Mus musculus: one gene and its partner. The protein of the gene in region 1 purifies or fractionates together with the protein of each later gene. This does not show direct contact. Links are inferred from orthologs where the notes say so. Each region holds a gene or a part of one and is shown in the gene's direction. Other genes may lie near its edges.

Region 1 (4,300 bases):
CTCTACACCAACATACCTGCAAGGCAAACCACCCACACATACATTTTTATTTTGTACACTGCTACCAAATGACCTATTTATCTTTCCCCTGCTCCTATACTTTTTAGGAAGTGTATGCCGACTCTCACCTGACCCACTGGCCTCAGACTAAATATTTGAGGATGACTTTAAATTAATTCCATTTTTCCGCTTATGATGGGTTATTAATCTGAAGTGTAGATTTGGACTCATCTGTACTGCTATATTCAATTTCTTAGTGTCTACCCAATCCTAGATTTAATTTTTGGATTATGTTATCAATAAAGGGATTTTAGGTTAACATTCCATGACAAAGTCTGGCTGTGCTGATTTATGTCTGAATCATAGCACTCAGAAGGCAGACAGATCTCTGTGAGTTTTAAGACCACCATGGTATACACAAGGAGTTAAAAGCCAGCTACAGCTATAGAGTGAGGATTTCAGGCTCCAATCAAGCTCCATTTTTTCGTATGTCCTGTCAGATCCATTTCGTCTGTATAGAAATCCATTTTCCTGCCCTCTGTGTTTTACCAAGTACCTTTGCTCAAATTATATAAATCTTCCACTAGCTTGAGCTTTGAGTGGCTTAGTTACCCAAAGCATGGACTTTTCCATCAACTTTTCCTTTTGAAACAGGGTCTGCCCAGCTGACCTGATATTTATTATACAATGCAGGATAGCCTCAAACTTTTGATCCTCCTACCTTCCCTTCCTAGTACTGGAATTAAAGTTCTGAAGCACCATAGCTGCCCTAATTTTGAATGAGGGCTGCCTTAATAGGCAAGCACTATACCACGGTTTTCTAACCGTGTCTTGCTATGCAGCTGGATTCTGTAATATACTCTTAGTCAGTCTGGCTTTCAGACGGCTTGTATTGCTACTGTTCAGGGGGTCGCTCTCCCTGAAAGAATCACTGAATTTCAATTTAGAATTGGGCACATTTGTTGGGATGCACATATGCTCAGAATAGTCATTCTGACGCTCATTAATATTTTAAAGCAGTTAAGATGGAGAGCAGCACCTTTAAAAACCCACCTGCCTTAAGTTACCTGTACTAGGTTTTTCCAGTCCTAGGGATTTTTTTTTTTCTCTTGCTCCCGAGACTCCGCCCACCGGTCACCCAGTGGCGGAAGAACCTCACGCTACGACGTGACACCTCACACCACCGCGGAGACTTTCTGACGTTACGCTGGCGGCGTGGGAGGGGCGGGTCCGCCGGCACTTCCCCTTCCCGGCTTTGGCCCCGCCCACCCTCGTTGTGAAGCAACCGCGGCCGCCAGCATTTAAGGTGGCTCAGAACCTAGAGGTGCGCTAAGCGCCTGCGCGGCTCCTTTTCCGCCCCAGGGGCTAGGCCGGTCGGAGCCACGGCTCGAGCCTCTCCTCTGTTCCGGAACTAACCGCCTGGCGGCGCTCCCCGCGCCCCTCCCCCGCCGGCGCTTCCGCCCGCGCTCCTCCCTCTCCTTCTCCAGCGACGCGCACGCGCGCCAGGCCGGCTCGCGCCCTCTCGCTGTCCACCGGCCCGCGAGATCCCCCCTCCCCTTCCGCCTCGCGGCGCTTCCTCGCGCCGCCGTCTTCTCGATCCACCCCTGACACCGCGGGGCTCCCCCCGCCCGCCAACGGCGGGTCCCCTGCTTGGCGATCTCTTTCGCTTCCCGCGCTCTCCAGCAGGGGCCCGGCCCCAGGCCCTCTTTCCCTTCCCTCTTATTTCTCTTCCGGACGCTGCCATCATGTTGAAGCCTCAGCCGCCACAACAGACCTCCCAACCCCAGCAGCCGCCCCCCACGCAACAGGCCGTGGCTCGCCGGTCTCCCGGCGGGACCAGCCCTCCCAACGGCGGCCTCCCGGGACCGCTGACCGCCACCGCGGCTCCCCCGGGGCCTCCCGCAGCGGTCTCTCCGTGCCTGGGGCCTGCAGCCGCTGCCGGCAGCGGACTTCGCCGCGGAGCCGAAAGCATCTTAGCGGCGTCAGCGCCGCCGCAGCATCAAGAAAGGCCAGGGGCAGTGGCTATCGGCAGCGTCAGGTGAGGACGGGGCTTCCTGGCTAGGGAGAGCCCGGGAGGCAGCGCCCCGGCTTGGAGCTGTTGAGGGGGCTCTTGGGGGCCCAGGACCCCGTGAAGGAGGGGGTGGACCCTCGTGCCAACAGGTCGGAGAGAAAGCTCTCCGGGAGGTCTCCAGGAGCCTGGGGGCAGCGCTCGGCTCTCTGGGCCTAGTCACCTCTTGGGGGTCTGGGCCCTGAGGGGAGGCGGGGCGCATCCCGCCAGCTCCGTCGGCAAAGGGTGTTGGGGGGGTTGAGGAGGTGATGGGGTCCCTAGCTCCATTACCACGAAGGATCTCGCGGTCCCCGGCTTCAGCCAATGGGGAGTCAGCTGCATGAAGGGGTCCCCGACTGTAGCCAATGGGGGGGGGGCGCGCGGCCCACAGTTTGGCCAATGGGGAGGGAGGGACTTGGGAGCGGATTGTTCCCTCCTCTTCCCGGTGTAGCCAGTGAGAGGGGGACGGGGTGGGCGGGGGCGCGGAAGCAGCGGCTACTGGGAAGACTGCGGGCTGGGAAGCTCCTGCGCGCGCGCTCCCCGGGCGTACGTGCGCGCGGATGCTGTCTTATGACTCGGGCATTGGCTTGCCCCGGTAACACGTAGAGCAGAGGCGGAGGAGGGAGGGGTTATTTGGAGGGTTTAGGGGCGTTTGGTGTCGGTGAGTGGGGAGTGGGTGCCCTCGGTTTTTCTCGGTGTGTCAATGCGATAGAAAGAGGCACTGGACGCAGGCGCAGTGGCTTCTGTTCTAGAGCGGGTGGTGGAGCGCGATGGGCTGTAGTGCGCAGGCGCAGACCGGGCGAGGCATCCCGGTGGATGGTTTTTGCGGCTGCGCGGTCCCCCAGCCCAGCCAACGGCCCCCTCCTCGCCCTCCTCAACTGCCGGTTACATCAGCCGTCGAGGAGCTGTGTTACCTGGCGTTTGGGGATCCCTTCAGAGTGGGTAACAGGCTGAATGAAAATAATGAGGGCGAAAGGGTGGGGTGTGGAGAATATACTTCTCCTGGGATTTGGAATCCAAGGCTCCTGAAAGCTTTTTTTCCTTTGGGAGGTAATGTGTCTAAGCTCAGAGGTGCTGCGTTTGGGATGCCCGGGCTTTCGCCTTCACAGCTGAAGTGTGCTGTTGGTTTAATACTATAGCAGTGGTTTATCGGAAGAGTGAAGGACTGTCCCTTAGAGGAAGTCAGGTTGTATTGCACTGACTGTTAGGAACATTTGACAGCTATTGTTTATTGAATATTTTGTTGACTTTTTTAAAATCTTGAATTCGGAGAAAATGTTTTAGCAGTTAATGCCTACTTTCTTCTTTAATGTGAGAACTTGAAAAGTCTTGCTTGTTAATCAGTCTATAGCCTAAATCAGCAAGTTGACCTGGTACATTGGTCTAGGGTTCACTACTAATTAAAACTATTTCTCTCTTTCTTTTTTAATAGGGGACAGACCACCGGAAAGGGACCCCCACAGTCACCCGTGAGTGCCTTCTTTTCCTCCTGTAAAGACACTCGGAAGACAGACAGTGTGGGACAATCTGAGAAGAGAGTATTCACCTGCTGCCCTTTACTTTTTTCTCGTGTGACAGGTGTTTGAAGGTGTCTATAACAATTCCAGGATGCTGCATTTCCTGACAGCTGTAGTGGTAAGTAACAGCTTTAACCTGGGTGTCTGAGGAATATGCTGTTTCAGTTTCTTAAAATGACTAAATGGTTCACCTTGCTAGGGTTCTACTTGTGACGTAAAGGTGAAAAATGGCACCACTTACGAGGGCATTTTCAAGACTCTGAGCTCAAAGGTCAGTGTACTCAAATTAGGAATTTCTGAAGCTGTGAAGGAGAGTGAGATTGAGAGTGTGTGTTGGGTGACAGCGGGCAGTTTTGAGGCTTTTGCTAAGTTCTCTGGTTGACATTGGGAAATACAGAGTGACATGGGCATTTGACGTTGAAAGACTAGAAAGCTTTAAGAGCGAATCCATCTTCTCCCTCTGATACTGACCCTGCCATGTTGGACTGGGGCTTTTGTAGTTTGAACTGGCAGTTGACGCGGTGCATCGGAAAGCATCTGAGCCAGCAGGTGGGCCTCGCCGGGAAGACATTGTGGACACCATGGTGTTTAAACCAAGCGACGTTCTGCTTGTCCACTTCCGAAATGTTGACTTCAATTATGCTACTAAAGGTATCGCTCTGAACTGTTGTGTCAAGAAGCTGACGAGAGCTAGCCCGCAGGTTGAACACGTTGACTTGATTTACTTTTCAGTAGA
Region 2 (4,093 bases), on another chromosome or scaffold:
AGCCAGGGCTGTACCAAAAAAAAAAAAAATCCCTTATAATACATAGACAAATGTATATCTAATTTAATGAATTTTAAAGCAATTATTCATGTAATAGCAATAGCACATTGGCTGGGGTATGCTGGTGTGTGTAGGACTTTAATCCCAGCATTCATGAGGCAGAAACAGGGGGAATCTCTTAGTTGGCCAGACACTTCTACTTAGGTAGTTCCAAGCCAATCAGGTTTACATAGTCTGTTTCAAAAACAAACCAGTCCAAAACAAACAAAACTCCTAGCCAAGTCCCCCAAATATATATTTCGAGGGTACCCCGTGTCTGTGCTTATCACAACCTTCTTCCTATCATAACAGGTTAAATTAACAGCATAAATTGCAAATACACCTTTACATTTCAATGTTTTCCTTAAATTTAATACAAAAATGTTTTAAAAACCCAAACCTTAAGAACTTTTAAAGGGTTCCTTTCTCCTTTATTTCACTTTTGAAAGTCTTAGTCTAAAATCTATTTTGGTTCCATAGTTGACCTCACCTGCAGTGTTTGATTAAAAAAACAACAAAAACACCCAAAAAACTTCAGTGTAGATTTTTTTCATTCCTCCCTCTCTCTTGCTTTCAACTACAAAGAAACAATGATTTAAGCCCTTTGTCCCCTTTTAGAAAATTACACAGATACCCTATTGTGGAACCCTATAATCCCTCCGTGGAAAGGAAGAGATTAGCATATGAATACAAAGCAAAATGAATCCAGAATACGAAAACGATCTATCGAGTTGTGAAGCTCTTGTATTCTTAAAAATGTATTTATTTCCTCTTTTTTGAATTGCCCCCTTCGTGGTTTAAGGGTTAAGGAAATTGAGCTTTCCTCTCTGGCTACCCGGAAAAGAATTAAACACACACACACACACACACACACACACACACTCACAACCCAACACATTCTAGGAGGTGCAAAACCAACAGATGGCTCCTAGCGCCAGTAGAATCGTCAGTGGAATCTGCTACACTCGACATCAGCTTGCTCGGTGTGAGGAGTGTAGAAAGTGCTGTTCGCTAACTGCGTGGTGAAGGAGAGAAAGCGATAGAAGAGAGAGCCATAATGCTGACGTTGAAGGCCCGGCCCTGTGAGGTTGCATAGGGTAAGTGGCGTTGGCCAGGCGGCGGTGGCGAAGGGGAAGGGAAGAGGATTTGAGCTAGGGGCGGGGCTTGACGCGCAGCGTGGCTCCTCATTGCTGGAGCACGGCTGCCAATCTCGCAGATCCTCTCGCTTAACCAGTGCGCTGGCGAGACGCGCTCAGATATACCGAGCGAGCGCGGAGAAGCAGTCTCAGATCCTGACGGTGCAGCAGCCCGCAGCCTCAGCCAGGGAGTCCCAGCCGCTTTCAATGGAGGAGAAGCCCGGCCAGCCACAGCCTCAGCACCATCACAGCCACCACCATCCGCACCATCATCCCCAGCAGCAGCAGCAGCAGCAGTCGCACCACCACCACCATTATTATTTCTACAACCACAGCCACAACCACCACCACCACCACCATCACCAGCAGCCTCACCAATACCTGCAGCATGGAGCCGAGGGCAGCCCCAAGGCCCAGCCCAAGCCGCTGAAACATGAGCAGAAACACACCCTCCAGCAGCACCAGGAAACGCCGAAGAAGAAAACAGGTCTGAGAGGGAGGGCGGTGGGGGAAGGGGGACTGGATTGGAGGGGGGGGAAGCGATGGGGGTGGGGCTAGATGGGAAAAGCGCGGACCCGGTCCGGGTGTGCGTCCCGCCGGGCCGGGGATGCCCCCTTCCATTCTTCCCGGGCGCGGGCCGGGCCGCGAGGTGGGGATTGCAGCGCCCTCTCCTTCCCTTTAGCATGGGAGAGGCCCAGCCAGGCCGGCGTGACCTTCCTCGGTCCCCGCCCCGGCCGGCCGGAGGCAGAGCTGTGCCCTCGGCCTTGGAAGTCCAGCCTTCATCTTCTTTTTCCCCTCTAGTGCGGGCCCTGGAGTTGCCTGAATGTGGGGGCCCCTAAGAAGGGGGTGAAACTCAGCCGCCCTAAAAAAATAAAATAAAAAATTCCCCCGAGGTGTATGTAATTCAGGCCTAGTGAATCCATCCTGATGCGGGTGGTGTCGCGAGAGCCGCTTGCAGGCGGCGACGAGCGGGGCTGAGGGCTAAGTTGAGGAAGCGTCCTCGCTCACCCGCCGCCCCGAGCCCACCTGTGGCCTTGGGGTTTGCCGTCTGGGTGTGTGGGGGACCCTATCGTCCCTCGGGTCATTTCCACCCCTAAACGCCCGTCTTGCGCGTCCGGACCCCGTTGTCTGTCCGCGAGGGCTTCTCCGCAGGCCGGCGCCCCTGGCCCGCTCGCCTCGGAGCCGGCGAGGCTGGAATGTTCTCTCCTCCTCGCGGGGCCGCTTCCTGTCCGCCATGTTGGAAGCTGATTCCTGTCACCGACTCCGGCCGGCGGAGGAGCGGAGGGGGAAGGGTGCCGAAGGCCACACGGCACGCCGGCCCGGCTGCCCCGGGACCCTCTGCGGCCCTTTTCCGGGTCCCCCCCGCACTGCGGGCGGCCGCCGCCCGCCGCCCCTCCCCCTCCGCGCCGCGCCGCGCCGGGGTTGTGTAACCCGGTGGCGGCCGCGCGGCCCCGGGCGGGTCCCTGGGGTGAGGGGCGGGGGCGGTTGGGGTGGGGGAGGGAAGCGGCCACGAGGGGAGCGGCCTGCACCGTGGCCCCGCGCGCCCGACGGCCGCGTTTCCCGCTCCCGGGTGCGGCGGGAGGCGCGGGCGGGGAGCGGGCCTTGAAGAGGAGCTTGAAGGGGGAAGGAGGCCCGGGCGGCGGCCGTGGCCGTAGCGTTCCGCTGGCCTGCGAGGGGCGAGGGGGATTCGTTTTGGGGAGAGGCGGTGCCTGAGGCCGGGTGGGGTACCCAGCGGGAACCAAGCTCCCGGGTCACGAGTTTCTCTGCCACAGGAATCTCATCTCCTGCCAGGTTCGCTCACGACTCCGCCTCGGAGGCTTTTTCACTTAGGCCTTTTTTCTTTATAGCAGCGCATTTCCTACCCAAAAAAAAAAAAAAAAAATGGGGGGGGGTTGGGGAACAACCTCTCAAACTTTGTTCCATTCGTTTTCCACCGAACACCTAAACTTCTGAGCTGGGTAGTGACTTTGTGGGAGGGATTAATCCGATGCTCTAATGGGTGGGACAACACGGGCAGTTTTGGCTTTCCTGTTTCTTTAACTATGAACTGGAAGTGACTTGTCCATGTGGTTGTCACCAGCCCTTTACCTTGGACAAGACCTTTTTGGTGGTTAAGAGGCGTTTTGGTGCATTTTAAAACCGACTTCCATCCCCTAACTGAGTATTATTTAACATTAAATGTGGAGCCTTGAGCTACTTAAAATAAGCATCAAAGTTTATATATTCACACGTTTTGTTTTGTTTTGTTTTGTTTTTAACTGAAAAGGGAATGAAGAAAGAAGTGTTAAACTTAGTCTTTCAAGTAATACAAGTAAGTTACTGGTGAAAAACTTACTGTAGACAATATAACTTTGAAGGCAGAGCTGAGTGGATATCAGATTTTCTTTTGTAGGGTAGTAGGGACTGATGATAGAGCAGAAGTGTTTAATTGTAAGGATTTACAGCAGCCTAGAAACTTAGGAATTATGTAACTGTATTAGTTTTGCTTTTCATGAGGTGAGAAAGTATCAAGGTTGCCCAGTGGTATTGTTCACAGATTCAGAATTTGTCTTTTATGAGGTTTATGTATTCCCCACAGGGCTCCTCACTGCATAGAAAGGCAGACCCTGAACCATTCATTGAAGGTGGCCCTCCTCACAATGTGTCTTAACCTGGGATGAAGAATGAGGAGGGAACTGGGTTTAGGAAATTTAGAGGTTATTAACAGTTGGGCTCAGCGGCTTTCCCGTATGTGGTTTGGTCGTTGGGTACTGTGCTAAAAAATCTAGAAAATGCTAGGGAAATACTTAACAAGTTTTTATGAACCATTACTTCCAAAGCTATGAGAAACTGGTTTTCTGGATCCAGAAGAGGGCACAGGAGACAAAACATGTTGAGTAATTGCAGTGTCAAATCTAAAAGCTAGATTTATTTGGGAC

Evidence for each region.
Region 2: the proteins of Atxn2l (region 1) and Nufip2 purify together in Homo sapiens (affinity purification with mass spectrometry; 4 studies listed by BioGRID and IntAct, counting the BioPlex papers as one, with this or other methods). This does not show direct contact. The link is inferred for Mus musculus from reciprocal best matches to the Homo sapiens genes ATXN2L and NUFIP2.

Annotation. Positions count from the first base shown.
Region 1 is NC_000073.6:126,500,638-126,504,937, reverse strand, and holds the start of Atxn2l (ataxin-2-like protein), read left to right. Parts: upstream 1-1,500; 5' UTR 1,501-1,745; coding exon 1,746-2,038; intron 2,039-2,338; exon of another isoform or gene 2,339-2,607; coding exon of another isoform or gene 2,608-2,642; exon of another isoform or gene 2,643-2,708; intron 2,709-2,837; exon of another isoform or gene 2,838-2,863; coding exon of another isoform or gene 2,864-2,985; intron 2,986-3,479; coding exon 3,480-3,516; intron 3,517-3,625; coding exon 3,626-3,682; intron 3,683-3,763; coding exon 3,764-3,835; intron 3,836-4,064; coding exon 4,065-4,215; intron 4,216-4,300. UniProt on the Homo sapiens protein: Involved in the regulation of stress granule and P-body formation.
Region 2 is NC_000077.6:77,684,846-77,688,938, forward strand, and holds the start of Nufip2 (nuclear fragile X mental retardation-interacting protein 2), read left to right. Parts: upstream 1-1,293; 5' UTR 1,294-1,382; coding exon 1,383-1,662; intron 1,663-1,710; exon of another isoform or gene 1,711-2,966; intron 2,967-3,441; exon of another isoform or gene 3,442-3,486; intron 3,487-4,093. UniProt on the Homo sapiens protein: Binds RNA.